Linked DNA regions of Caenorhabditis elegans. The protein of the gene in region 2 interacts with the protein of the main gene of each other region in a pairwise test. Each region holds a gene or a part of one and is shown on either strand. Other genes may lie near its edges. The genes, in order: inx-8, lin-41, let-99 and hcp-3.

Region 1 (5,177 bases), on a different chromosome or scaffold from region 2:
TATGGGTTCCGGTTTCAAAAATTATTGTTTTTTGTTTTCATAATAATGAATTGTGTTTCACAGATATGACTTAAGAAAAAGAATTAGAGAAATGAAGAAACCTCAAGTCAGAGTACTACAACAGTATATCGTATTTGTATTTTATTCTCTATGAAGAAATACTCACAAAATAATCCTTTAAACTCCCAGAAACGGCCCGTAAAACAACATGGTGAAACTAAAAACGTTGACTGAAAATAATTTACCTTTGGGCTGAAGTGAGAATGGCTGCGATGATGAAGAGGAAGGCAGTGATGAGACATGAAAGGGTATCACTTGCATCATCAATTGCTGTGATCCCAAGATGACTTGTCAATGAGGTAAGAAATGGAACAGAAAACATTCTGTCCCTTTGAACCAAAGTGACAATGCTCTGAAAGAATTTTTCATTGAACGAAATTAAAAATGAGATTGAAATATTGTCTTTCGAGAATCAATGATTGAATTGAAAATTGAAAATGCTTGAAAACATGGACAGACAGAACGAAAAATTATTGTCAATAACATGTGTCGGCCTCCCAACTGTGTGGTATTTATACACGAATGCAGAGTTTGTGGGCGGAGCTTGCGTCGTCTTCCAGTGGGTGGTTCATTTTATGAATCATCTGCAATTGAGACCAAGGATGACATGGAAAAATTGGTTATTGATTTTGAGATTTTTGTCAGGAGTATCGAATGATCAATGGGATGTGAAATTACAAGATTTCGCCTAAAGATTTTTCTCAAATGTCTGAAGATCGGATAATAAGACCTATATCAAAGTGAAATGATGCCTTTGCAATTTTTTAAATACAAAGTCAGAACCTTGGCTGCCAAAAGTTTAAAGTTTCTTGCAACATCTCTCACTTACAAAAGACGGTCGCTCTTTTTATTTCGAAAGTTTTGAATTTAGGTTTTTGATAGTGAAAAATTAATGAAAAAACGGCTCAAAGTTAGTTTCTAGATTTTGACTTTAAAAAACTTTTTTTTAAAATTCCTTTTTTTAGTTCGACCATGATCTCCTATTCGATCTCCTTTCCGTTCTAACTTTGAGTTCAATTACCAAATATATATTGAAGTCAATACATCTGTAAAACAATTTTTCAATATCTCTAGCATTTCAGTTTATTTCCAAAGGAAGCCGTACAAAATCAAAAATCACCGGGTAATTCTACTACTCGATGGTAGTATTATTCACGGGTCGAACGTTACAAAATTAAAGAGTTAAAGCAATGTGAAATAAGAAAGATAATTATGACAAGAATGGCGGATGGGAAAACATGGAAAAACTATTGCTTTCCGTTCTTCAAGATGTTGTTGTATTTGTCCTCAGCGATGTTGGCACGGTCTCTTGCTTCCTGAAAATGTAGGAATTGGAGGATTTTCAAAAGAAAAATAAGTGCTTGCCTCCGTGAATGTCTAACTATTACGAAAATTGTTGAAAAGACTTACTAAAAAGTCGCTGTACATCTCCACGGCAACCTCCGATGCTACCAAGTCACTCTGAGATTTGACAAAACTCAGTATAAGTTTTCCGTCCATTGTGAGATACTTCTCTCCAAACTCTCTGAACAATTCCTTCTGATCGACAATATCATGATCCCGGATAGCAAAAAGAAGACTGTGGATGAAGTATGGCTTCACAATTTGAGCAGCGTTGTAGAAATGAGCGATGAGAGTGGAGAAGACGAGAAACACAAGCCAGAACCTGGAAATGAGCAGCAAATGAGCACTGAGTTTTAAAAAAAATCAGAGACTTACCAGAAGAACAAGAAGATTTTCTCATTGAATTCATTGATTCCAATGACACACTCGACAGTTTCATCTCGATTATTTCCGGCCATCTCACGAACTTGGAAGTCACAGAAGGTAACGCGAGGGAATAATCCAGTAGTTTCCCAAGTGATTCCATTGAGAAGATTCATAAAGAGAGTCCATCCCCAGAACAAATTCCGTTTCTGTCCAAGAAAGATTGCAATAATTACAAATTGAGCAATTGCATTGACGAGGTAGAGAATCTTGATAACTGAATAGACCATGTACATTCGAATGAATGAAAACAACGACGGAGTATGAACGGAAGTGATCTTTGTACGCATGAATCTTGCCATTTCCTTGATCTTCGCACTTCTCTTATCCTCAGTTTCATTCTTGATTTCATTTGCAGTATCACAGAAGTAGACAACAGGCATGTCAGTTGTAGATTGAGAAAGTCTCCAAAGAAACTTCGGAATCATGAAAGCAATTCCAGCAACTGCCAAGTACATACTGGACCATTGATAGTAGGTAAGACGATGACGTTCTTTGTGATACATTGGAATATCTGTCATGGATTGTTGTCTTGGATAGAAGTAGGTGTCCTTCAAGAAGCAGTAGTTTTCAGCAAATTCTCCCCAGTCTCCAGAATACGTTTGCGGGAGCCAGCACTCCATTGCAGAGCCGACATACCTGGAAGAAGTAATTTTTGAATAGTGAAAGACTACTCTATTTGCAGGATTCGGATTGAGAGCTGGTAAAAAGTTTAAATCATCAAAATACGCACATTTTGAACAATTGGAAACACTACAATCTCTATATTTTCAGTGACTTCTATTTTTGATTGAAAGCTAAAATAAAGCGGGTATTATGAATTTTAATTTATCTTTTTTTCTATTATTCCCGCAGGCGTTTTCCGGGCAAAAAACGGAGAGGCAAAAAAAATTTACAAGACTTTCAAACGAGAGAAGGAAACAACTTACGTCTTGGCTGATGTGAGGATGGCTGCAGTAATGAAGAGGAAGGCAGTGATGAGACATGAAAGGGTATCACTTGCATCATCAATTGCTGTGATCCCAAGATGACTTGTCAATGAGGTAAGAAATGGAACAGAAAACATTCTGCCCTTCGAACCCGAGTGAAGATGCTCTGAAAGATTATATGTATGTTGAAGAGTGAAGAAAAAAAGAAAAGCTTTTGATTGAGCACAGATTGAAATGAATGATTGAATGGAAAGTTCTGGAAAACAGAGGAATGGGCGGAACGGAAGTAGATAGAGAAAAGCAAAAAGAAAAGCATTTTTATTGGCCACCAGTGGTAATAGGGACTGGTAGGCGGAGATTGCAGCGAGACACTGGGGGTCTTCCAAATGGTATGACTCATTAGAAGAAGGGGAAATCAGGTCGAAGGAAAAATGAACAGAAATTGAGTGTTCTACAATAAATTCAATAAAAAATATTTTCTCTGTAAAACTGAAAATAAACTGAATGACAATAAAAATTTAAAAATAATGAGGGAAGTACACGTGGCGGACTGTGCAAGACGTTCCACGTGTGAGGTCACGGGGAAATTAGGGCAAATTTTGTTTATTTATACGACGCGATTCTAACAACTTTTCCGGAACCTTACAGTGATATTGACTATATGGTCAGTGTCTTCATTAATTTTAAAGTTTCTAATAAATCATTGTACATTCCAATAAAAGGGTTCGTATGGGCGGTACACTTCAAAAGTTGCGTTGCGCTTTGGAAGCTGATATTCACTATTTTATCAAGGTCACAAAAAGCCTTTCGTTTTTGTTGTTCGACAAGATTCTGAAATTTGAATGGATATGTTCTTTTCACTCTCTTTAATTATTCTCTTATTTTTTTTCTTTGCAGAAACTTTCACTATTTTTCTCATTCACTTTTTTGTGTGCAATCATAAATATTTCTCTCAAATTTTATCAATTTTCCATTAAATGGGCGGGATGGGAACTTCATTTTTCAGTTTTGCTGTTAAAAATACCAACAAAAAAATTGGGTTGGTGCAAAGAATAACACCAAGTGATATTGTGTGAGAGAGGATTAGAGAGTAAGGAAACCTTCAGAATTTGAAGAAGCCTGCCGTGATGGGGGTTGAGGTGTCCAAGTCAAATGGTCTAGACAGTCGTCTGTCTGGGAGAGAGTTCCATGTGTCCTTCCTTCGTTATGTTGTTGATCTCTTGTACTTCTTGGACCACTTTTTGAATGTTCTAGAACCCTTGCCATCTGTCGTATAAGTTTTGCAACAAATGTCGATAGGGATTGGAACCATAAAAGCTGAAAAATGTTTCTCGATACCACCTATGTTTCAAAGATTATTGGACTGTTGCAATATGGAAAAAATTTTAAAATTAAAAAAAAAACGGATTATAGCAATTTCCAGAACAATCCCTCAAAAATTGTTTTACTTAGTTTATTGTAATAACACAAAAATCTGTTAGATCTATTTCAGAAATTTTTTATCAGTACTTGAATATATCATATTCTAAGTTTTCTAGGCAGTAACTAAATTTCTACCTGCCTGCCTACAGTCGTACAAAACCTTGGACCATTTCGTCGTGAAAAACTGATAGGATGCAAAAAAAATAACCTACTTCTTCTAAGTATGCGTAAAGTTATTACTATAAATAGTGAATAAGAGAGTTTTGCATGCCTTGTATGCACCAAAGTAGGCATTGTTCATAAGCTTGCCCTGCCAAATATTTGAAGCCAAGTGCTTTCAGCTCTCTCTCTGAAAAGGAAAATTTAAATTTTTACAGGGTCACTTATTTGACTCCAGATCTCCTTCCACCCTCTATGATGTCATATTTTCCCCAATTAAATCGGCTAACTTCAAAAGACCCCATTCAGACGACCGATCTATTTGTTCTTTCCATTCGAGTCGCAATTTTTGAAAGCCTTTGGTAGGTACAAATATATTTTTGTTGCAAAAGGAAAGAAGAGGGAAAAAATTGGAAATAACTTTCGTTAACGATGGGAACTTGAGAACAACGGGGGAAAGATAAATAAACTGAAGGTCATCCATATGGGGAAAATGGAGCTTGACACAAGAAGTTGGGGTTAGAGGAAAAAGGGGATTTAAAATGGTTTTGAAATGTTAATCCAAGTCGAAACTTTTTGGGTAAAACATGTGCAGGGCCAAATGCCAAGGAACTTGGAAAATCCGAGGTAAAATTTAGTATTCTAACAATGTCCAATCAGTTTTATCTCAATTTCTTGATTTGTTTCTCATTAAAAAAACTTATTTTTTCAATATTTCCATATATTCAGTAATTTCAGAATAATCATCTGATCATTTCCGGTATTTTCTTGTGCTATTTGATCATGTGATATACAACAGTATCGACATGATTTTTATTGCTTTCCCTAGAAAAAAACAAT
Region 2 (6,019 bases):
AACAAAACGCATCGGACTGAAAATTATGAAAATTACCGTTGCATTTGTAACAATTCCATCGATAATCTGCTTGATAGTATCACCAGTCTTCTCACATTGCCATTGCAATAATTGACTCTCATTAACAACTTCTCCAACAGCAACTCGAATATCTCCAAGTGGCTGAACTCGATGCTTTCCAGGATGTTGAGCAACACAGATTGCACACAATAGAACTGAATGAGGACAATTCTCACAGATTCCAATGATTACTGAATCATGAGTTCCACACACAGAAGAGCTTCGAGGTGATGATTCTCCACTGCCAATTGAATCATTTTCAACGCCAGACACATGTCCTGAAAAGAAAACTGAAACAGTTTGAATTACTGTAGAATATCTTCATATACCATCTCCACTTCCAACTGATCCAAGTGCTTGACGAACTGATCCTCCAACATTTTGAGTGTATTGCTGTGCTTGTTGTGGTTGAACTGCACGGCTCATCTGAAAATAATACTTTTAGATTTTAGAGGAATTACGTGTTCGCCGAGCAAAAAATAATACTATAGTGCAAAAAGAGCACCGGATGAGGAGCAGACACCTCTCTCTCTCTCGGCACTAAATTGGCCCTCCGACTGGCTTGTGAATAATGGCGAAAAAAGGTGGTTGAAGGAGAAGAAAAAGGGAAACGAACGCCTGGATGTTGAAAAATGGGAATTTCCTAGTACGTGGACATATTCGGATAGAAAAATCTATAAACTTGTAAGGAAAGTATTTCAGCTCTGAAACTGCTTTCAGTAAATTGTTTTCTTCGAAATGTGGATTTTTGCAAGCTTTTGGTGATGTTTATGGTGTTTGGAGGTAAGCAAACACTCTGGGAGCTTTTTGGAACTTGGTTTTGTTTGAAAAATGTGAAACTGCTGACACAAGTTTCATTTAAAAATCTAAAAGTGAGCTGAAATACTTTCCTTGATAGTTTTCAAAAAGTTATTTTCAAGAAGTTTTACTAATGTAGTGGAACGGTCGGCAGCCAATTTTTGTGTTCTAATCCTGCAATCAGTTACTGATAAGACATTTAAAAACGGAAAAATACACCAAAAAAGTACTGATTCTGTGTTTTTTCTTGATTGACAGGAGTCATTGATTTATGATTATTGCGTACTCTTTTTATGATTCCTGATTACAAACGATTCACGTCATCAAGCACGTGGAGAATCTTGAAACGGATCAAGGTGATATTAATATAGACCACATATATTATTTTTTGCTCCCAAACTACGGTATCATGTCTCAAAATGTCAATTTTTGTAAACTACAAAAAGGTGTGCGCCTTTAAAGAGTACTGTAGTTTCAAATTTTTGTAGCTGTGAATTTTCATCGATTTTTTATGGTTTTAATTTTTAATTTTAGGTTTTCGATAAATAAATATACAAATATTTAATGAAAAACAATGGAAAAGTTTAATTACAGTACGTTTTAAAGGCGCATACTTTTTATGAATTTCCAAAAAAATAATTGTCGTGTTGAGACGCAAAAAGCGTGTAGTAACACACGATAAGATAAAAACTAACCAAAGTAGCCATCAACTGCTGAAGCTCAACGAACGCATGTTGTTTGGTGGCTCGAACACGCTGATGAGCTTGAACACAATGAATACACAAAGCTTCCTGACATTGCATACAGTAGGCGAACGATCTGAAAAATTTAAATATAATTTAATTATCTTTGAAGTTTTAGGGGAAAACTAACATTTTCGATTCGCATCCTTGACATTGAATCGGACCCATTGGCTGTTGTTGTTGTGGCTGAGATCCAAGTGGTGAAGGAATTGGAAAAGTTTGCTGTGATTGTGAAGACATTGGTGTTGCCAATTGAAGACGTGGCGTCGAGCACATGGAATTACGTGGTGGAGCTATGGTTGCAGAATGTTTTGGAACATCTGGTGATGCCATCAATGATGGTGGCATATGCATTGAAGTATTCGTTGGAGAGAGTGGAGAGAATACAGGAGTATCATCGTTCTGTAAAGAATACGAGGAATTAGGTGCAATTTCAGCTCGCAGGAGGGCGCATTTAGCAAAAAAAATTAGAAAAAAGACTTATTGAACTTATTGAAGCCAGGGAGAAAAATATGTTTCTTGGGAAGAGAGAAATGCTAACTTTTTTTTGCGAAAAAAATGATTTTTGAAATATTATGGGGCCGTAGAAAAATGCTCATTTTTTAATCGAGGTCCACCCCCAGAAGTTGGGTCTCGTTAGGTATTGACGGCGAAACCGTAAATTGAACCATTTTTCGATTTGCGACCACATAATATATAACATCATAAATTCGGGAAATTGAATTTGTTTATAGCTCCACACTCCACAAAATTGTACTTTTCTCTGTTTGAAATTTGATAAAAACTGACCACTGCCAACGAATCAAACACATTTTGCATCAACATCGGCGATTGTTGCTGGTGTCCTCCGATGCTCGACAGATTATTGATAGAAAGCTGTGATGGTTGTTGCAATGGAGACCATGATGTCAAACTGCTGTCCGAGTCGGGGAATCCAATTGGACGCATCATGAGCCCACCAGCAGACGATGGCATCCGTGCACCCATCACTGGAGACGGTGATCCAGGCATTCCACTGAGTGAGAATGAGAATGCACGAGGTTGATGAAGTGGAGTTGATGCTGGAATTTGGGTTATTCTTCGGTGTAAATTGAGAATTAAAACATACAATTAATGTGATTATTCATCGTTGGTGTCGAACAATCCGACATCAGAGCTCCACGTGGCGGTGATGGAAGCGTCGGAGACAGGTACATCTGCGATGTAAAGTTGGCGGTGGCTGTCGATACGGCACCACACAGCTTGCAAGCTAAAATTCATAAATCATACAGAAAGTTGAGATATTTATTTACCCCGTCGATCGTACGAGGACGGTGTCATCTGGTAGCATGATTGGCACGTTCTAAAAATAATTGTCATTTTGATAATTTGTCTTGAAACCCCACTTGTGCGCACAAACGAACGGCAGCACTCCAATCGTCGAGCTCTTGGAGCAGACTGAGCACCGAAAGGAGTCTTGCGGGAGTCCGAGTCCGAATCCAGTGTTGAACTGGAACTGTGGTTGCTGCTGTGGTGACTGAATCATTGACGGTGGAGTGTCAAATAGTGAGCCAGTGAACTGTGGTGGTGGTGGTCCCGAGCCAAGATGATTATCCTGATGATGATGGTTTGGTGAATGCTCACCGCGATGGTGGGACATTGAGTCACCTGAAGTTGTTTCGTTGGAAGCTTTTTTTTCAATTTTCAAGTGTTACCTTCACTGCTGCTTCCGCCCATCGACAGCTCGTTTCCGCTGTCGTTGGCGTCCACGTCGATCTCAGTTTGAAGCCGACGAGGTCCTGATGGTGCTCCTTCTTCTTTCTCCAATGAGCATGGCACGATGGTCGCCATTTCACTTTTTCCAAGTCTGAAAAGGTTGATTAATTATCAGTGGAAAGGGCAAACGATGACTCTACAATTAGAATACTTATGAATTTTTTGACTTTTCAGAACGAATGGAACAATTAATCGAACAAAAAAGTCAGTGAAGCACAAAAAAAGTGCACTTTTTATATGAAAATAATGGAACAAAATGAGAGAAAAATGGCCCGAGGGCTGCTGATGACAAGGATTTTTGATGGGAAAATCAGAAAAATGCCGCTCTTTCAATTTAATATTCGAAAATAAAAACAAAAAACAAAAAATTAAGTAGTCAAAAAATTTGTGGTAGGTCAAAATTTTTCGAATAAAAAAATTTTATTAATTTTTTTTCGACGTTTTTAATTTTTAATATATTTTCGCATTTTGCTTTGTTATTTAAAAGTTCCTCACCTTTATTCAAGATCACGATCGTTTCCAACGTCGCATTCCCGCCGTTTCCGGCTCTTTTTGTACTTTAAGTTGGTTTTTATCCTAAAAAACCAACTTTTCCCTCCTCCAGCGACGTCGAGCCTTTTCCTTGAGTAACGAGGCGATCGGCTCTTCCTTTTTACCCGTTCGCCAACCGTGGCCTGAAATAAAACGAGACTTAAATATATTAATTGAATGTTTTTCAAAAATTATCGAAAAATGATGCGACAATAAAATAATAAAACAAATGGGGTTACGGTAGCTTATCGATTTTTCCTTGAAAATACGGGGCGAAATGAATTTGAATGTATCTGAAGATATTTTTAAAGAGTTTTTTGTAATAAATTTGTTAAAATTTTATTTGATAGAAGAATTCACTGAAAACACTTATTTTTAGATGAAAACTCGTAATTTTATGTGTTGGGTCTCGTCACGAACACAAAATTTTTCCAACCGACTATGCGCCTTTAAGGATTACGGTACGGTTCTCTATCTCAAAAATTGTTTTACCAAACATTTTTTGCGACATAATTTGTTTTTTCGATAAATTTTCAAAAAAAATTAAACAAAAAAATCTGAAACATTTTTCCTTCCAAAAAATTCAATACGGAAGTAAGTTTTTGAGCAGCTCCTTAAAAAGTGATGGAAATGGCAAACATTTTAGGCTTTGTGAAAGCTTTACAGGGATTTAATCGAAGCAATAGAAACCGGGAAGCGAAAATTGAAGAATGCGAAAAACACTAACTAAATAAACATCTCGCGTTGGATTAATCAAAGTAAAATAAACAAAAACGCCCCTTTTTTCGAAATTGTAGGAGTTTTCTGGACAATTCTCTAGGTTTTCCAGGCCAAAAACTTAAAGTTGGAATTTGTCTTAGGATCACATTTTACACCGAGTGATTTTTACTATGTGGCCGCGACATACAAAAACACGGCCACCTTCCTAAAAGGAGCTATGGTCATTTTCTCGAAAATCTGCTCGTTGAAATAACTTGGTCGGCAAGCTTCACAAAGTTCTGAAGTGAAAAATTAAAGATGAATCACTGGCCGAATTTTTGGACTTTCTAGGCCACGTAGCAAAAACCAATATATTGTACGAATTATGTTCTGGATGAACCATATAAAAGATACATGTCTAACTATTCATTGCTAATTTTTATTAAATATTACATGTCCGGATATCTGGAAGCAAAGTTTCATGAATTTCGTTTCAATTACTGATTTTTATTTCTAAGACTTATTGAACTTGTGACCTTTTGACCTAAAGTCTCAAAATATCATAAAGGGGCGTGACATATCTTTTTCATATCAAGACAGATTCTAACAGATATACATTGGAAGTAACTTCAATTCATTTTTTGAAAAAAAAATCGCAAAAACCTATGGGACATTGAACACGGTGGGAACGATAAAAGTGTGTGTATGTCTGTGTGTGTGTGTAGAAGTCTTTTTCCCCTCTTTCCTCTCCATTTCTCTAAATTTCCACCCCTAGGCTGCCCCGCTGTCTCCCCCAGGCGCCCCAAATGTCTGTAGTCTCTTCGTCGTTCCCACTCTCTACACACCTGGGGGTGAGCGCCGCGCCGAAGGACTGCTGGGGGTAGGCTGCACGAGAGTGGACAGATGGTTAGAGAAAGAGTGAAAACTCTTTTTTTTTTGCGGAAAAAAGGGGAAGAAGGGGAAGACGAAGAGACCAAAGTGTTTCTCTTTCACTGGGCTCAGTGCTTTTGATCTCTGCGTGTCTCTAGTTTGTTCTCTCTTTCTCATTCTTTTTTCCATTCAGTGTTCCCCTCTCACCCCCAGTGATCTTCTCCGCCGCGCCGTCGTCGCAAAAACAGAATTTCGTGCCAAAAGTGCAAGGCCTCATGTTTGAAAGAGTAGTGTACTTTTTCACTTTTTTCGCAAAAAAAGGAGAAGAAACGTCGCGAAGCGTGCGTTTCTTTTTTTAATACCTCAGACCGAAACTAACCAAACAGGAATTGTGAATGAAATAAGAAATACAAATTAAGGCGAACAGTGAAAAATGAAGACCTCTATTACATAGTCGTCTAAAGATGGGAGTTTTCGACATACCATAGGCGCATTGGTCTCGCCACGCGGACAACAAATTACCGTATCTCATGTCTAATTATGGGCCGTTATTGAATCATATT
Region 3 (5,878 bases), on a different chromosome or scaffold from region 2:
TAAACGCTTCCATCTTATAAAAAGTCCCTCCAAAACTTCCGGCAAATCGGCAAACCGGCAATTCAATTTTTCCAATTTGCCAAACGGCAGTTGCCGCCCATCTCTGTCACAAAGTATATGTTAATGTAGAACCAAATTTCTAAACTTTAAACTCATTAAAAATGAAAAAAAAAACCAATTTGAAAACTATTAACGCGAACCGAAAATGTGTTTTGTGATAGAAAATTTGAAAAATTTCAACCTTCGAACTTTGAATTTCCGTGAACATTTCTTCCCCTTACAATTTCTCATATATAAAGCCTCCGAAAATCTACAAAATTCATATTTTCTCACTTTACAAGATTCAAAACCTCTCGGAAGCGAAAAAAGAATAATGATCTCGCAAGTGAGTTTTCTGTCAGGATTCTGATATTTTCCAAACCTCTCGCTTCCAGATCATTTTGCTATTAACTCTCAATATCTTGCCATTTGTGCTGGTCCATTGTGGGAGCAAGAAGAAAACAGTGGCTCCAAAACCGGTCGCTAAACTTATGGCAGCACCTGCTGGAGGAGTCGGAAAAAGCGACTCATTCGATTCGAAGAAACAAGACGTTCCATCGTCAAAGAAGGATGAACCAGTGGCTCCAAAGAAAGAAGATGTGAGTTATTTTTGGCATATTTTAAAAGACAAAACGAACGTTTTTAGGAGGGCAACTACGAGGAGCTCGCCATCCCACAATAGTCCTCAATGTATCCTAATAAATTTTTTGAAATTCCCCCTTTTCTGTGTTATTAAAGCATAGAAGAAAATAAATACATATAGATAAATCATCGTCAAAATTTATGGAACAAAACGAACATCGAGAATTTCAATTCAACCAGAATTGTAAAATAACATTTAGAAAAATGATGATAATGACACAAGAATTCGGTGAGCGGGGAGGAATGGAACAAAATAAATAATATATTGAATATATACATGGGGCGAAGATTTTTAGATTTATTTACGCAGCAATCTTGTGAACAATCCTTTCTTCGTTTTCTCACATGCCACTTCTCTTAGTGGTTTCTTAAAAACTGCCGGAGATGCTTGCGGTTTATCCGGAACTGGTGGTTGCCAATCATTTCGACTTCTGGTGATCTTTGCGTACCGAGGACCACTATATCTGTCCTTTTCTTCACATTCCAATCGTTTGACCTGTTCGATAAATTCAACAGGTACTGCAAAAAGAGATTGAAAGTTTGCGAGGAGGACAGCGGTTATCAGCATTCCTTGTTGCTTTCGGCATTTACTACAAACACCTGTCCAGAGTCCGATGATTGCCTGAAATCGAAAATTTAAAATTGATATTACGCAGACGCAAAAGTTCGCGACAAAAGTACGGTACCGGTCTCGAGGCGACAAATTTTTCTTTTGTCGAATGAAACGAATGAAGATTTCTGCAGAATTTTAATTGTTGAAATATAGGTGTTAATTTTGTAGTGCTAAATTGATAAATATTTTTTTTTATCAAATAACTAATTAAAATCCATAAAAATTCGGCAGAAATGAGAGTTTGAAATTACAGTACTCCTTGAGGGCGCACACATTTTCTTATCTAACAAAAAGTTGTCGTGTCGAGACCGGTTACAGTAGTTTTCTTGCAAAATTATCCCCTCCTTACCGCTTCCCGATTGTTGGAAGATCCGTTAGAAGGATCAGCGAGGTCGAAAACTGCATTCGTTTCGATCGATTGAATGAATGTAACAAATTTGTGAAGTTTCCGACGTCGTGAAGTTGGAAGCGAAAGAAGTACCAATTGAATTGCTTCGATCAACCATTGCTCTCGGATTTCGTAGGATTTTTCGTCTGAAATTATAATTTTAAGTAAAAATCGTGAAACTGTAATAAAAATAAAATTCTTTACCTTGTATTTCCAAATTCACTCTATTATCAAATGGTGATAACGCACGTCGTCGATACTTTGAAGCTCGAATTCCGCATGCTGGAAGATCACGGGAGAATCCATCGACCATCAATCCAGCCTCCTCAATACTAGACGCAGACGAAGAAATCATCACTTTCGACCATCGCCTTGCAGGCCCATTGTCAAGCATTGCCGCGAAGCTATCGATTTTGCAGAGGAGATTAACAATAAGAGAGCATTCATCGAATTGAAGAGGAGCATTCAAGTCTTCGAGACGATTGACTAGAGTTATGAAAATCCGATTGACGTTGTATTCCAACCCTGTGTCCATTTTTTTATGCGTGACGAAGGGATATCGAACAAGATAATCCATGAATTGAATAACAGTTTGGGGATAATCGGGCTGCAGTCCCTGACATCTCGATTTGACGATTCCATCAGCATGATCTATTTCAATCATGTTCCACTGAATATCGTATCCATCGACTTTAGATGCCCATTCACAGGGAAGAGTGCGATCGTAAATTTGTTCCAATCGTCCAAGCAGCTCTGTTTTCCAAAATGAGCATTCGTTGTTTGCCTGGACAGAGTCTGCAACTGGAACAACCGACGATCTTCTCATGATGGATTCGTACATTCTTCCACGCGATAACAATGCTGGATTTGATCCTGCGATGCTTGTCCGATGATTTTGATATCTGCTAGGAACTGCAGGCAACGGTCCTTGTGGATGCATAAAGACGACGTCTTTCGGGGCTTCTCGAATTGGCGGAGTGGTTACTTTCTGACTACGAAGAGCAGCTTCAGCTTTTTCTTGTTCCAAAACACAATGATTTCGATCAAGGGATGCTGAACGACGGGTTGGTTGATTGACTTTCGTGTGATTTCGTCTTGATTTGAAAAACGGTAACCAATCATAAACCTTCTCTTTCATCTCAGAAACTTCTCGTTTTTCAGTATATTCTTCTGTACAGATACTTTCAAGTGATCTGTTCAAAATCTTCGGAGTTCGTTGTTTCTTCGGGATTTCATCGTCTTTATGATCATCGAAACCGTGATTCTCAACGCCGCCTGAAGAATTATCGATGCCTGCTTTGTCAATGTTGCCATTAGATCGCGATAATCTTCGTGGGAGCCTTGCCTTTGGTGGCCGGTGCATTGTCGCGGCAGGAGAGGCAGGTTGAGCAACTCTGGAAATATATTTTATAGCACAGTTTAAAATGATTATTTGGCATACTTTGCACTTTTGCGAGCACCACTGAAAGACGCTGATCGACGTGATCGGGGCTTGGGATGCTTCAACTCATCCAAAGTCTTCATGAACAAATATATTCTCGATTCACTGAATGGCCTCCTTTGCTTGACTTTCTTCGGGAAGGCTTCTGAAATCACGTTCATGTCCATCATGAACTCCAGGAACTTCTGCATCTTGTCTCGTTCCGGAACATTGTTAGGGATGATTCGTGGCATTTCAATCATCAGAAAATCCACAGCTTCTTTCCCGCTGAAACTGTTTTCCGCAGTGGCCAATCCTCTTCTGTTCGTTTTGAGTGATAAGTTTGAACGAAAATGCCATAGAATTTCGTCGAACTGAAAATCAGAATAAAATTTCAAAAGACAAATGTGAAACATTTTAATACCAGATGCGTCGCCTTGAACTTCTCCGATGAGTAGTCGGCAGACATCACGGCAAGACGGCCTAAAACTTGAATTTTGATGGTTTATTGATAAATTTAAGAACTTCTTAAAAGAAAACGAGATTTCATCACGAAAAAAAGCAAGAATGAGGAAAAATTTCTGGAAACTTCCTAAAAATTGCTGAAACGAGTGAAGTTTTGGCGCCGAAGTTTTGTTTACGGACCAAACACACGAAAACACGACTTGTCACACAACTTATTAGCTACAGTAACCCATTCTGCTTTGAAAATTTCTCTTTTTAATTAAAAATTCCTCGATTCAGATGTTTTTTTTTTCTCAAAGTGTTTCTAATAATTATATTTTCCTCGAAATCCACACTATTTTACATAAAACAAATCATCTTATTCTGCTCTTTTCGCCGTTTACACCATCTGTCCTTCTCCAATGACTCCTTCTCTGCGTCTCTTTCACTCTCTCGCCGCCCTCTTTTTCTCTGTCGTCTCTCACTTCGACGTACTTTCTCTCGTGTTGTTGTTCCCGTACTTTTGTGTGTTCCACTGTTTGTGAGATGACGGCTAGTTGCCTGGTACTGGATTCTCACCAGTTTTAATTGATTTTTCATCAAATTTTCTTTAAAAACTGATTAAACTTTGTGATTTTTATCGTATTTTTACAGATTTTCAGTTCAAAATGTCCGATGAGAAGTCTACCACACCAACCGCTCAACTCGACGCTCCAGCCGATGGAAATATGAATGATTTGACGTCGTTGGTACGTAAATACTTGAAAAAAATTGTCAATTTTCTAAAAAATCCTAAAACTCAGATACAAGGAGTTCTGCAACAGACACAGGATCGATTCCAGCACATGTCGGATCAGATTATTCGGCGAATCGATGATATGACAACGAGAATCGATGATTTGGAGAAGAATATCAACGATTTGCTGCAATCGAACCAAGTTGAACATCCGCCAAGCGCTCAATAAGATTGGTACGGAATGAGAAAAATGGGAAACATTCTCAAAAATTTCGGTCGATGTTTTGACCACTCGTTATTTTTGAAAAACAGTGTTGTTTTTGATGTCGACTTTGAAATTTCAAAAAAAAACAATAATATGGGCCGTGGGACCCAATTAGAAATACAGTAAAAAACGCTCTTTGGCCGAATATTTTATAATTTTCATGTATGAAGTCAATCCTTTTATTCCTTCTTAACTTTAGTTTGAAATATATTTAGATTTCCTAGCGCCTTTCCAATCGATTTACCACGTGGTAATCAGGCCGATTGCACCGTTATTCCAAGACTTTATCATTAAAAATTAGTATAAAAATATAGAACTTCACCTATTAATTTTGGCTGAAAAATTCGCCGAAGAGCTCAAAAATGGTCTGAAAGATGCCAAATTTCCACTAAAAAATCAATTTGTAGAGATTATTAATAACTAATCTCTCTTCAATTTCTATTTTTTCCAGCTCTACACTCTTCCCAAATGAATCATCGTCGCTTCCTTCTTCATCATCATCATAATTCCAATTCGTTTTGTGTGCTTCTCTGCGTCTCTCCTACATACATATACTCTTTTCACGTCTTCTTCTTCTTCTTTTTCTACTGATTATGCACGTGTTGAGAGGATTCATGACTACTATGTTGTGCCTCCTGCTTTTAATCTCTTATTCAATAACTTTTGTTGCATTTTATTACGATTTTCGGAATTATTTTATTTATATGTGAAAACACAAATTTTGCCAAAAATTCAAATTTTTGTGCATTTTTAAAAAAAATTTTCAATATGAAACTATTCATCTTACTTTTTCTTCTTCTTCCCTTGAATTTTTTCTCATACTAAATGTTGATTTCTCACAGTTTTTACTAACTATTTCGCATCCGGATTTTCAGATAAAAAACATATAATTTCAGAAATGGGAGCTCAAAATTCGAAGCGAAAAGATCTAAAAAATATTAACGATGAGGATTATGCACATTTTATGGAAAAACTCAAAAAACACACAGATGGAAAGGACAAAATGACGCGAGACCAGTTTGTGGTGAATTAATTTTTAGAAGGAAAATACATTTTAATATAAAATTTTCAAATTCCAGGCAATGTTCATACCGATTCTGGGTGAATATTCATCACAATTCTACTTTCGTTTGGTAAAAAACGAGCCGCAGGGCGTTTTGCTCGCTAAAACAATCCTAAAATGTATTGATACTGGACTGGGACATTTCGATCAGCTCGCCGATATGCTCAGATTCTGTTTTGGAGATCAAAAAGATCAGGTTTCGAATTTATTAATTTAAAGAAAAACTTCTTTTTTTTTTGTCAGATAATGCGAAATGTTGTGAAAATCT
Region 4 (4,362 bases), on a different chromosome or scaffold from region 2:
TAAATATTTGGTTCAATTGAAATTCAAGCTAAAAAAAGATGAAATCCTCAAGAAATAGGCACATATGTAGTGCGGTAAACTGGTTTAAATTCCAATTTCGCGGCGTGTACAACAGGGCGCGTTTGCATTATTTTATTTTTCTCTAAAAGACCATTTTCTCTCCATTTCTATACTCATTTTCAGTGTACAAATGAATTCAATAAAACATTCTACGGAAATTCCATCGACCAGTAAGCTGTCAGATAAGCAAATAATTAATTAATATAAAATAATTGCAGGTACCCAATCACTAGTATTCGAATTCACGAATTTGGACGATTTGTACGGATTTTTGAATATTCTCCAGTGTCGTGAAGAATATTCGTTTGCTCAAATACGTGCCTTCTATAATATTCCCGTCGATAAGGTAACTAATTTATCTTCTATTGCCAGAAGTTATTATATTTAAGCTTCAGAAACTTCTTGTCAACATCCAAGTGAAAAATCCGGCACAAAATCTCGATTATGCTTGGGAAAGACGTTTGAAACACCATTTCCGATACATGCTTGATCTCGAAAAGCTCATGTGGAACTTGTCTACTCTAGGTGGCGCTTATTCAGCTATGGGAGATTTCGATGCAAATTATGTAAGTTATCAGTTTACACTTTAGTTTAACGCTAGCTTTTCAGGCGAAAGTCGCTGCAAAAATTACTGCTCATCAAATCAACTTAGCGAAAAAATATGGAGATCCAGTTATTCTTGCACGATGCTACCTGTATACCGCCCTCGCAGAAGCACAACTCGGAAATCTCTCGCATGCTGTTAATATTGTTAGGTTGGATTCTTGAAAGTAGAAAAGGCTTATTTACGTGGTCAATTTCAGAGCAATTTATCACTGGGCCAAACAGAATCCGAACACGGATATTGTACAAAGATGCTGCGAAGGAGTCTATCAGAAGCTTCGAGCTATTCATATTTTCGGAAAAGCTAGTTCGAACAAGTGATTAAATAAAATGTTCTCATTTACAAGTAATGAATCTTTATTATTTGACAAATAGTAAACGTGTTCACGGTACACAAAAGATCAAACAGCGCTAAAATTGATGAGATAAATATGGCTTGAAGATCGAAAAATGAGTATTGCAAATATTGTTATCAGAGATGTCGAAGGCAGAGACGTCTGTATAACTGAATATCCGTTGTCATGAGTGTGACACGTTTCGCATGGGTGGATATAAGAGACGATCCTTCGAACATTTCGACCAAAAATGCTTCCGCCGCTTCTTGAAGAGCACTGATGGCGTCAGAACGAATACGGCAGTCGGCGCCAAATGGAGTGGAAGTCTGCATAATTTCGCGGACGAGGCGTGCGAACGGAGCCTGAAATTTGGAATTGTTTTAATATAGTTTAAATAAAGTAAAAATTGTATACCTTTTGAATCAGAAGGTCTTCAGTTTTTTGGTACTTGCGGATCTCTTCCAATGCCTTCTGGCCCGGTCTATAACGTCTCGTTTTGGTGACTCTGTTCCTTCCGGCTCTCATCCGCACGCGATCGGAGCTCGATGGGCCAGTTCTATTACCACGATCGGGGTTCGATGGGCCAGCTCTATTTCCATCGCCATTTGTTCCATCCATAGAATAGTTTTCTTCGTCGGAGCTATCGTGTCGACGGTATGAGGGCATATGATGACGGCCGTGGGAGTAATCGACAAGATTCGTGGAATTTCTGCCGACCTGAAATAAATTTTATGTTGTTTGAAATCATACAAAATTGAAACTAACCGTGAAATCCATAGACGAAGCTCTTCTCCGAGCTTGCTCTTTTCGCGCGTGATATTCGTCTTCGGCTTGCTTCAACTTCAAGACATATTGATTCCGTTTGCCTGTGACCAATCGAATTTTGTGGATGTGCGCTTCAGTGTAGTCGTTGGCTGCATCATCCTCAAGCTCCTTCTTATACTGGTTCAGAATGTCGATCAAATCGTTGACACCTGCGGCGCTTGTGTTGAATCCCGGCACTGAAGTGACTCTGAAACAGCAGACATTAATTTGTAGCACGAAAACAAAAATCATCACTTACCTTTGCATGTCATGTTTGAGACGTTGCATGATCCTTGTGACGCTCTCATTTTGCTCGGCGATTTCCTCAATAATTGGGGTGTCATCGGCCATTGTTCGAAGATTATCCTGATAAAATATAAAATTTAGAAAACTGAAGCTAAATTAAGACGATTTGTTTGAAGGTTAAAAAGGAATTAAAGAAGCAATAAATGCGAACGCAGTTTAAATAAGTAACGATTGGCGGCGAGAGACGCAGGGAAATACGCAGACGACATCACGCTAAAGTGCACACAAAACAACATAAATGACGGACTCAACCCCGGGGGTCGCCTAATTAATCAATATTTGGGTCTTATAAAAATTTAGTTCAGCTGATTGAACAATTGTGTTGTTTTTTTCGAAAAAAAAACGATTCTTCATAAATATTCCATCAAAACTTCACGAAACTTGGACTGCCTTGGGCTGTGTCTCGCATACAGCGATAATATATAATATGAGATTAGCTGTATAATTTTTTATCGAGATAACTTTGGAAAGTGCAGTGAAAAAACAAATATTCGCCGGAGAAGACAATGATTCGGTGTTTTTCACGACACTCTGGAGCTTTAACACACAAAAATGTAAAAATAGTCTGATACAAAAAGGAAAAAAAAAGAAAAAAAATCAAAATAATTCCTAATTTTAGGTGACAATAATCTGAGAGTCACCATCAACAGACAAAAGAAAATTCTAGAAAAGAAAAACCAAATTTTCGCGCTTCCGCGCGCTTTGAAAAACTAAAATGTGCAAGTAACACGAGAGATGCGCCAGCAACTTCCGCTTGCGCGGAAGGCGATTATTCAAGCAGGTCTAGAAATAATAATTAGAGCTAATATTCTCTTATAATCGAAGAACGCTTAAAACTTCGCTGCAAAAAAATTATAATAAATTTATATTTGGACCTGGTAATCCAGTGTTCGATAAGCCGAGTCTACTGCAATGACATAGCACAAGTTTTCAATTCGAATCACGTGGTCTCATGAGACGTCTCATAACTGATCTATAGTTTTAAATAGGATTTTTTATATATGATATTAAAAAAATTCAAAAAATTTTTCGGCCGGAAAAGTGTGCCTGCTAACCGAGTGACAATGGTTGGAAACTACGTCTCAATTACCGCTTTTTTCCATGTTTTTTCCCATCAAAACAGCGAAAAATCGAAAAATGAAACACTTGATCCTGACACCAAGTGATTCAGGAAAGGCTCGTAACTAGCAAACCTATTTTATTTCGATGAGCTTTCCGAAGCTTGTTGAAAACATATAAGCCAACTTTTATAATTTTAAAATACCAAAAAAGTCTAAAATGCCAAAAAATTCGGCTAATCGCTCTGTTTGAATTTGAATTCCCTCCAAAACAAGAACTGCAATACCAATTAGCAAATTGCTCCGCACACTTTTCCACCAATCAGACAAAAAGGGCGGAGTCCGGAAACGCTGATTGGTTTCTTTCTTTATTTTTTATTTCTTTTCAAATACCATTATCCCGATAGAACGATAGACATGACATGTTTTGCAAAGTTAATACTAAACTTGTTTCCAAAAAAAAGTGTACGTGTTCCGTGTTGATTCATTTTCCTTTCCAATTCTGTGTCTTTAGAATTTTCAAAACACCAACACACACACACACACGGAAACCTCTTCAATATCACTTTTGCAGTATTGTCTCTCTCTTTTCTACATTCTGCCCAAAAAAAGATTGAACACATGAAGAAATATTCGCGACGACGAATGGGGTGACAAACTGTGTAAGAATACTATCACAATGATGCGTAAAATGCTTTCGTGACGTCTGTCACTAAACAATTGAATTTTATGAGCGCGTCGAGATGTTCTCAGTGAAAGGAAACATTTTTAGGTGTACATAATTGGCACAGAAATCATAAGGAAAAAAATCGAAAAAAAAACCAAAACTGCAGCTGAATGAATTTGAATTCTTGAATTTCAAAACCTACGGAGTCGGTCAATATTCTATTCGTTCACGGTTTTACAGTGATTTGCTTGAGCTGTTCGAATAACTCAAAAGATATGTTAGCAAAATATTTTCAACTGACCAGATGTTGCAAATTACTTTTTCTACATTTTTATTTATGTCAAAATTATTATATAACTCTATTTCGGATCAAGTTACAGCAGCTGAGGTCCTCCTCAGACTTTCATAATTCATGTTTCATGCTTCGTATACTTTTTCCTGATCAATTTTTTACACAACAATAAATTGCAAAATGTAGGCATTTTTATGGAAAACATTTTCATATTAAACTTTGTTCCATGAAAACACC

What was found.
Region 1: the proteins of lin-41 (region 2) and inx-8 interact in a two-hybrid assay, tested with the Caenorhabditis elegans proteins (one large-scale study listed by BioGRID).
Region 3: the proteins of lin-41 (region 2) and let-99 interact in a two-hybrid assay, tested with the Caenorhabditis elegans proteins (one large-scale study listed by BioGRID).
Region 4: the proteins of lin-41 (region 2) and hcp-3 interact in a two-hybrid assay, tested with the Caenorhabditis elegans proteins (one large-scale study listed by BioGRID).

The regions. Positions count from the first base shown.
Region 1 is NC_003282.8:11,671,589-11,676,765, reverse strand, and holds inx-8 (Innexin-8), read right to left. Parts: upstream 2,923-5,177; 5' UTR 2,894-2,922; coding exon 2,757-2,893; intron 2,467-2,756; coding exon 1,780-2,466; intron 1,727-1,779; coding exon 1,471-1,726; intron 1,377-1,470; coding exon 1,308-1,376; 3' UTR 1,131-1,307; downstream 1-1,130. Other genes in the region: inx-9 (Innexin), read right to left, coding at 246-382. UniProt on the Caenorhabditis elegans protein: Structural component of the gap junctions.
Region 2 is NC_003279.8:9,338,467-9,344,485, forward strand, and holds the start of lin-41 (Protein lin-41), read right to left. Parts: upstream 4,031-6,019; 5' UTR 3,852-4,030; intron 3,448-3,851; 5' UTR 3,432-3,447; coding exon 3,296-3,431; intron 3,249-3,295; coding exon 2,987-3,248; intron 2,944-2,986; coding exon 2,894-2,943; intron 2,851-2,893; coding exon 2,710-2,850; intron 2,663-2,709; coding exon 2,391-2,662; intron 2,004-2,390; coding exon 1,732-2,003; intron 1,678-1,731; coding exon 1,554-1,677; intron 487-1,553; coding exon 390-486; intron 351-389; coding exon 37-350; intron 1-36. UniProt on the Caenorhabditis elegans protein: Heterochronic protein which acts downstream of let-7 in temporal patterning. Plays a role in the developmental timing of postembryonic hypodermal seam cell division and fusion events and adult alae production.
Region 3 is NC_003282.8:12,565,549-12,571,426, reverse strand, and holds let-99 (Protein let-99), read right to left. Parts: upstream 3,586-5,878; 5' UTR 3,572-3,585; coding exon 3,527-3,571; intron 3,477-3,526; coding exon 3,124-3,476; intron 3,077-3,123; coding exon 1,887-3,076; intron 1,829-1,886; coding exon 1,644-1,828; intron 1,304-1,643; coding exon 980-1,303; 3' UTR 805-979; downstream 1-804. Other genes in the region: K08E7.4 (uncharacterized protein), read left to right, coding at 374-385, 435-638, 686-721; hsb-1 (Heat shock factor-binding protein 1), read left to right, coding at 4,215-4,295, 4,350-4,511; eak-7 (MTOR-associated protein MEAK7), read left to right, coding at 5,446-5,571, 5,627-5,806, 5,854-5,878. UniProt on the Caenorhabditis elegans protein: Required for the proper orientation of spindles after the establishment of polarity. May play a role in interactions between the astral microtubules and the cortical cytoskeleton. Required for asymmetric forces on nuclei and spindles.
Region 4 is NC_003281.10:9,614,301-9,618,662, forward strand, and holds hcp-3 (Histone H3-like centromeric protein hcp-3), read right to left. Parts: upstream 2,171-4,362; 5' UTR 2,154-2,170; coding exon 2,062-2,153; intron 2,011-2,061; coding exon 1,764-2,010; intron 1,716-1,763; coding exon 1,413-1,715; intron 1,361-1,412; coding exon 1,136-1,360; 3' UTR 1,006-1,135; downstream 1-1,005. Other genes in the region: F58A4.6 (DUF4807 domain-containing protein), read left to right, coding at 191-230, 279-406, 456-626, 670-815, 864-984. UniProt on the Caenorhabditis elegans protein: Histone H3-like variant which exclusively replaces conventional H3 in the nucleosome core of centromeric chromatin at the inner plate of the kinetochore.